Ovis aries: one gene and its partner. The protein of the gene in region 1 interacts with the protein of each later gene in a biochemical or structural test. Links are inferred from orthologs where the notes say so. Each region holds a gene or a part of one and is shown in the gene's direction. Other genes may lie near its edges.

Region 1 (3,819 bases):
CCAGGACCATGCCCAGCACATTCACAGTCATCTCCCCGCGAGGCGCAATATCTGCTCCTCAGAGATGTCTGTCGACTGATGTGACCGGGAGATCAGAGCTGGGGGCGGGTAGAGTTCAAATCTGGTTGGATTCGCCCTGCTCACGCAGAACCCTCAGTAGACGGATCCTCAGAAGCCTGCCAGCTGCAGGCAGGCGAGGTGCATATATGCATGCTAAGTCACTTCCGTCCTGTCCGACTCTGTGCGACCCTATGGACTGTAGCCTCCCAGGCTCCTCTGTCCGTGGGATTCTTCAGACAAGAATACTGGAGTGGGGAGCTGTTCCCTTCTCCAGGGGATCTTCCCAACCCAGGGACTGAACCTGCATCTCCTGTGTCTTCTGCAATGACAACTAGTGCTACCTGGGAAAGGGTTCTGAACTGGGTATCAGATACCTGGGATTTTGTACAGCTTTGCATCTGTGGGGTGTGTTCCCAGCCGTTTCTTGGCCTCGGTCTCACCTTCTGTAAATGAGCAAGTGTAACTGGAAGGCCTTACATGGGGGCTTTTCTTGCTTAGAAGCTCTTCTCTAAGAAAAGCAGCTGTGAGTTCTATTGCTGCTACCTGTGGACCAGCTCTGGCTCTCTCGACGGCATTCCTGCATCTGCCACACGGTGGCGCCAGAGGCCTCTCTTTCCTGCCCCCCAGACCGCTGCCTAAAGCTGTATCACTGGCCATCTGTGGTCATTGAGCACTTAAAATGTGGCCAGTCACTTGAGATGGGCTGTCAGTATAGAATATGCGCTGGATTTCAAATACTTAGTACACAGAAAGTATGCATTTTGTTATTTCTTATGTAGAATTTGTTGTTCAGTCTCAGTTAGTCGGAATCTTTGCGACCCCATAGACTGCAGCACGCCAGGCTTCCCTGTCCTTCACTATCTCCCAGAGTCTGCTCAAACACATGTCCATTGTGTCGATGATGCCATCCAACCATATCATCTGCCCTCTTCTCCCGCCCTCAGTCTTTCCCAGCATCAAGGTCTTTTCCAATGAGTTGGCTCTTCACATCAGGTGGCCAAAGTATTAGAGCTTCAGCTTCAGCATCAGTCCTTCCAGTGAATATTCAGGGTTGATTTCCTTTAGGATTAACTGGTTTATGTTGATTATCTACTAACATAATTTGTGTCTGACTCTCTGTGACCCTTTGGACTGCAGCCCTCCAGGCTCCTCTGTCCGTGGGATTTTTCAAGCAAGAATACTGGAACAGGTTCCCATTTCCTCCTCGAGGGGATCTTCCTGATGCAGGGATCAAACCTGCATCTCCTGTATTAGCAGGCAGATTTTTTATCTGCCGAGCCATCGGGAAAGTTCATATTTTAGATATATTGGGTTAAATGTATTGCTTAATTTCACTTGTTTGTTCTTTACTATCCAAAATGTGGCTACTGGAAAATTTAACAAAGTGACTTGTGATCCACATATTTTATTGGCTAGCACTGCTTGTAAAGCACTCCATCCTTTGGCTGCCAAACCCTGGCTCGATTCCTCTGTGAGAGTTCCCACCGAGCAACTCTCAGGGCCTCAGTCTCTCCAGCTATAGAATGGAAAGTACTTTCTGCCTTAGGTGAAGCTTATAGCTAAGTCTTACCCTAAGACCTTGCACTGACTTTCTCCTCTGAAATTTTCCAGACTCCATAAGGCTGTATTAGCCCCATTTTACAAGTGAGGAAACTGAGGTTCAGAGATGGCAGGTAAATTGCTTAAGATCACAGAGCAGGGAATATCTAATCCAGTGTTTGAACCTTATGCTCAAGTCTTGTCACCCCACCACAGTGCAGGTAGATGAGATGAGTCAGACTCGCTCATAGCCACTTCCACCAAAAGGTTCAAACTCAGGTCCACTTGATTGAAAGCACTATGGTTTCTTCTCCACTTTGCTTCCACCCAGTATTCTTCAGAACTCTTTGGTTTGGAGGTCACAAATTATTTGGTTCACGTAATTGAAAATTTTCTTTGTGGAACTTCAGGTGTGGCTGGATCCAGGAGCTCTGTCTTTTCTCCGTCTCTCATCTCTACCCCACTGTGTGTTGCTTTTCCTGTAAAATATCTACCAGCAGCTCCAGACTTGCTTCCTACTCAACTCCAGTGGAAAATCTGTTTCTCCTTCCTATATTCTCAACAACAAAAACAAAACCTTGAAGTTGCTTCTCATAGACATGGTTTGGGTCATGTGCCCACTCCTGAGCCAGTCCATCATGGCCACAGGAATGGGATGGATTGATTGGTGCAGCCCGTCCCATGGCTATTCCTGGAAGTGGGAGTGGGGTGGTCAGTCTGTTCCAGCTCCTTACCACAGATACTGAATGTGGAAGGTGTAATTCTCCCGGGAAAACTGGGCTACTTTACCCCGAAGGTGAACGGATGCTGGGCAGGCACAAAGATCAGATGGCCGCTGTGTTTTCCTGGGTTGTGGTGGCAAGAGGTCTGCTCCTGGAGTCTCTGGCTCCTCAGCACCAAAGCTGAAGGCATCGCTGTCCTCCCTGCAGGCACAGCACAGAGGGACACCGTCTGTGAACCAGCTTCCCCAAGGGCCAGCCACAACTGCAGCGCCAGCCCACAGGACTGCAAGGGCCCCACCAGGTGACTCTCAGCCTCACACTATCCAGCTGACCCCTGTGTGGGGCTGTCCCACCTGATAGGAGACCCAGGGCATTGTGGGCTGGGGATGTGGATGGGGGTCAGTCCAGGGTGTCAGGGCTCCAGGGGGCCTCTCTGCTGAGCAGAAAGGTCATTGAGGCCCTACTGTGTGCCCAGCCTTCCCGGAGCACACAGGAGACCCAGAAGGACAAGAAAACACAGCTCTTGCTCCCAGGATCTGCCAGAGGGCCTGCCAGAGGCTGTGGGCAGAGTCTGGGGGCCCCTTCTCTATAGAAACGGCTGCCCCTGAGCACAGATTCCCCCTGCACCATCAGAAGAATTGCCAGTCCCATCTCTGGCTTCTTTCCCAGTGGCGCCATCCCCCAGGCCAAGCCCACCCTGACCTCCCCAGCAAGCCCTGGTGCCAGGACCATGCTTCTTGGAGGGGACATCCCCCTCACCCCAGAAGATGCTTCTAAAATGACTCCCAACTCCAGCTCCTTCGTGGTGAAGCTCAATCCAGATCCAGGTAAGCTCTCTAGAGGAGCCAGGGGCAGTCTCCAGGGCAATGGTGTCCAGTGGGTGGGGTGCTGTGTGTGGGGTGGTCAGGGCAAACAGTCACTGAACCAGTATGGGGCGAAGAGGCTCTCAAGGCCTTCTGGGACTGAGACCTTGGAGGGCTAGAGTAGAGAATGGAAGGACTCACTTGTTTCCTGGTTTGGGTACCAAACACCGAGGCATGCTGGGGCAGTGGAGCAGGCCCATCTCTGCAGGTATCAATATGATGCCCGCCTCTAGTTCCCATGGCAACAGATTAGGGTCCCCATTTACTCCTGTTTATTACCTGATAGTCTTCCATTGTACATGAATGTATAAGAATATTACAGTTTGTTTAACACACAGTTTTTGGATATTTGGATTGTTTCTCCTTTTTGCCTGTAGTGAATAATGAAAAACAAGTCTTTGATGAATATGTTTTTGTTTCTCTTTGTTTTTTTGAATTGATCTCTAGGACTTCTTATAATTCTGGGTCTGAGCCCTTTGTCTTATAGTTGAGTTTAAAACATCTTCTCCCACCCCGTGGCTTGCCTTCTCATCCTCTTCATGGTGTCTTTTGATGAAGAGGCGTTTTTAATCTCAGTGTAGTCAAACTGGTCCATCTTTTCCTTTCTGACTAGTGCTTCTCATGTTCTGCTCTGC
Region 2 (3,589 bases), on another chromosome or scaffold:
TGAATGCATTTAAAATATTCTGATTTCTTAAATTCCACAATGACATAAACCTTGTCTTTTCTCCCAGCCAAGGAAGCTCCATATAGCAGGCTCCCTGCTTAGGTCTCTATGATCTTATATCCTTTTAAAATTGAATGCTAGGATGTGTTTACCTCCTGTCTGGCAAAATGGCCTTGAGGAGGAAGCCTGGTCTCTGAAATCAGATAGACATGGGAGTGGATATCAGGGTTTCCTCCAACTTGCAGTGACCTTGTATTGCTGATCATGTCTGGACATCAGGGTGAGCCTTGCAGAGCTATTCTGAGCATTCAGTCAGCTGGAATACACAGACATGCACCCTTAAAGGAAGGATGGCGATAATTCCTAGCAGCCTCAGTGTGCTGTCCACACTGCCTGGCTGAGTGACATAGGACAGCGCACTGAATTTGCCTAGTGCCCATGCTCCTTTCCATCTCTCAAAGGGGCTTAGCCAGCCCTCTCTCACAGAGCTGTTGCAGAGATCCAGTGAGGTGGAGTACATGAAGCGACAAGAATGGCACCAGGTACATACAGGAACTCAGGCCCTGTTGGTTTCCTTCCTCCAACTTCCACAATCTTTTGTAAAAGTCCATGTGGAAGCAATCAAGTTTAAAGAAAAAAAACTCCTAAGGTACTTGATGGCAAAATGAGAAATAAACAGGTTTTCCTTTTATCCCCCAAATGGAAACAGAATAGTAACTGTCTCCATCAAAGGGTCATGGGAAAAGATCTGGTGTCTCCAGTTACCAGAGCAGAGACAGGCATTTAACATGTGGTCTTACTTTTAGGGAATTGCTCAGAGGACATCTCATGTATCCTGAAAAGAGCTCCATTCAAGAAATCATGGGCCTACCTCCAAGGTCAGTAACCAACACCAGGAACCCCAACCATATGAGGGTCACTCCTATGGCCAGAGGTCACAAGCAGAGGCTCACGGGCAAATGTGACCTGCATGTGTATTTTGTTTAACCTGTGTGATAATTTTTATAATTTGAATTTAAATGGCTTGGGGGAGAGGGGAGAGCATTACTCTCAAAAGCGGCAAGATTCCTGCTTCCTAAGCCTCATCCACTCCTTGAAGTTTGCCTCCCTGGCCTGTGGGGGAATCGGTGCTCCACCCCCACCCCTCTTCATTCACCTACTGGCTGCAGGCCAAGGGTACTGTCCTTTCCCTCGTACGTGGGAAGCAGGCTCTTAATCTCTGCCTCTATCAAGTCATTCACAAGAGAGTCACAAAACTTCCTGGTGTCCAGACTGATAGCTTGATGACCATGTTGGCACAGGCCCCATTTGCGTATTGCAGCATGCTTCAGGTAAGAGGTCCCTTAGAGACGAAATAATAAGAGGCATTTATGCTAGGAAAGATGAGGTACAGAGGAGATGGCCAAGATTCTCTGCAATAGCCATCCTGCTCATTTTCAAAATTCAATTTTGCAGTTAGATTAGTTCTCATTCTTCAGTTGAATTGCAATGAGGTTTAAAGGGAAGCAATTAAAATGAACACACCAGCTTCCCAATTCTGAAAGACACCTGGACCCATCAGGGCTGATTTTAACTTGTCAGTGAAAAGACTCAGACTTGGCTTCTGACACCAACATGTCTGTTTAGAGGGCCTGCTAATTCTCTGCTCCTCTATAAATCCCAGCTGGGAGGAATCCCTTAATGTGAACTTATTCTATACAATGATGTCTGGCTGCCCTTTTAAAGAGAGGAAGACATTTAAAACTTCAGAAAATGAATAGTTAAGGGGCACATCTGAATGTGAAAGAACAGACTGAGGTTCTCCTAGACTTCTTGATGCCTGAATTGCTTACTAACTGAACCAAACTGAATGCTTTTTCTCTGATATTTTGTGCAGTGCTTACCCAATAGCAGTCCCCTGTTGATCAAATGTTCATTGATTGATTGAATATATGTCCATGATAGCCCAAAACTTATAAGGAATACAGTCCAGGAACTTATAGTCTGAAAAGGGAACAGTAGAACTTATAATAATAATAACAGGATGATAAAATGATTAAGTGGAAAACAGTTACCTCTGCAGGGGGTAAAGGTCTAGGACTGTGTGTTTTCTGACCCTCCAGCTTTATGCTTTACAAAAGCAGAGGGATGGTTTTGTACCTGTACCTTGAACACTCAGCAGTGCCTAGCAGTGACATAATATCTGGAAGATATTCCAGATGGCTGAACCAGCGGAAAATATTACAGAAAACACGGGGCTTGAATGGGGAACCTTGAATAAAGATTTCAAATTTTCCAATCTGCATCCGAAATTTGCCTAATGACTCTGAGGTCCTTTTGTCTTTCTCCTTCCAGTGTCAAAGCATATAAACAAAACCAAGTTGTCTTGGAACAAAGATGGCATCATCCATGGAGTCAGATATCAGGATGAGAACCTGGTGATCCAGTTCCCAGGTTGGTACTTCATCATCTGCCAACTGCAGTTTCTTGTGAAATGCCCAGAGCATTCCGTCGACCTGAAGCTGGAGCTCCTCATCAACAAAGACGTTAAAAAGCAGACCCTGGTGACAGTGTGTGAGTCTGGAGCACAAGCCAAAAACATATACCAGAACCTCTCCCAGTTCTTGTTGGAACACCTCCAGGTCAACACCACCATATCAGTCAAGGTGGATAAATTCCAGTATGTGGATACAAACACCTTTCCCCTTGAGAATGTGTTGTCCATCTTCTTATACAGTAGTTCAGACTGAACCACCCCTCCTGGCCTTTGGGAAGAAAGCAACTCCCTACCACACAGCACTTATCCTTCCAGACACTTGGGGGAAAAAAAGAAAACTTTAGGCCAAGACTGAAAAACACAAAGGGAATTAAATAGTACACTTCCATCCCCTGGGAAGATCCAACTCAGGGTTAAAAAGAGACTTCTGAGTGAAGTATCTTCCAGATAGAAGGCGGGGACTCAATGTGGCCTGGCGGACAGAGCCACACACGGGAACCAGAAGGGATGGATTTAGGCCCAGCCCAATCACTAACTCACTGTGTGACCTGGAGCTAGTCCTCTCCCTTCCCTGGAACTTGGATTTCATGTCAGAAAAGCCAAGCCTCTCTCATCACATACCTGAGAACTAAGGTTCCAGGCGCTGTTCCCGAAGCCCCCAGCCAGAGGAAAGGCCCCCACATTGGCATAAAACTGATGGTACTTACTGGCTGCCGTGTCACCTCAGCAGAGTCAGGATTTGGGGACGAGGTTCAGGGCACCTTGCTTGGCAAATGGAGTGAACAGTAGGATCTAAAGTGTGCGAAACTGACCATCCTGAATCTAATACCTTGTGGGTATTTGGAAAACCACCCGGCCAGGCTTGACTCTGCCGGAACTGAGACTGACAATAAGGCAACAGACAGCTTTTGTTTCCCGTCAGGAAAGTGCCGCGAGTTCGGCAAGCACTCAGCGCGCAGCCGTCAAGGTGATCAGCCGTTTGGTAAGAGCGGCTGCTGTCTCCCACATGAACTCTTTCCCCACTTCAAACAGCTCACAGGAAACCATTCTGTGGAGGGTTTTTAAGGCCTCACTGTGTTGTTGACAGACAATGATAACTCTGAAAATGGTGAG

Evidence for each region.
Region 2: the proteins of TNFRSF8 (region 1) and TNFSF8 form a complex in vitro, tested with the Homo sapiens proteins (2 studies listed by BioGRID and IntAct). The link is inferred for Ovis aries from reciprocal best matches to the Homo sapiens genes TNFRSF8 and TNFSF8.

What each region holds. Positions count from the first base shown.
Region 1 is NC_056065.1:40,856,222-40,860,040, reverse strand, and holds part of TNFRSF8 (tumor necrosis factor receptor superfamily member 8), read left to right. Parts: intron 1-2,528; coding exon 2,529-2,622; intron 2,623-2,990; coding exon 2,991-3,148; intron 3,149-3,819. UniProt on the Homo sapiens protein: Receptor for TNFSF8/CD30L. May play a role in the regulation of cellular growth and transformation of activated lymphoblasts. Regulates gene expression through activation of NF-kappa-B.
Region 2 is NC_056055.1:8,880,603-8,884,191, forward strand, and holds part of TNFSF8 (tumor necrosis factor ligand superfamily member 8), read left to right. Parts: intron 1-806; coding exon 807-878; intron 879-2,334; coding exon 2,335-2,729; 3' UTR 2,730-3,589.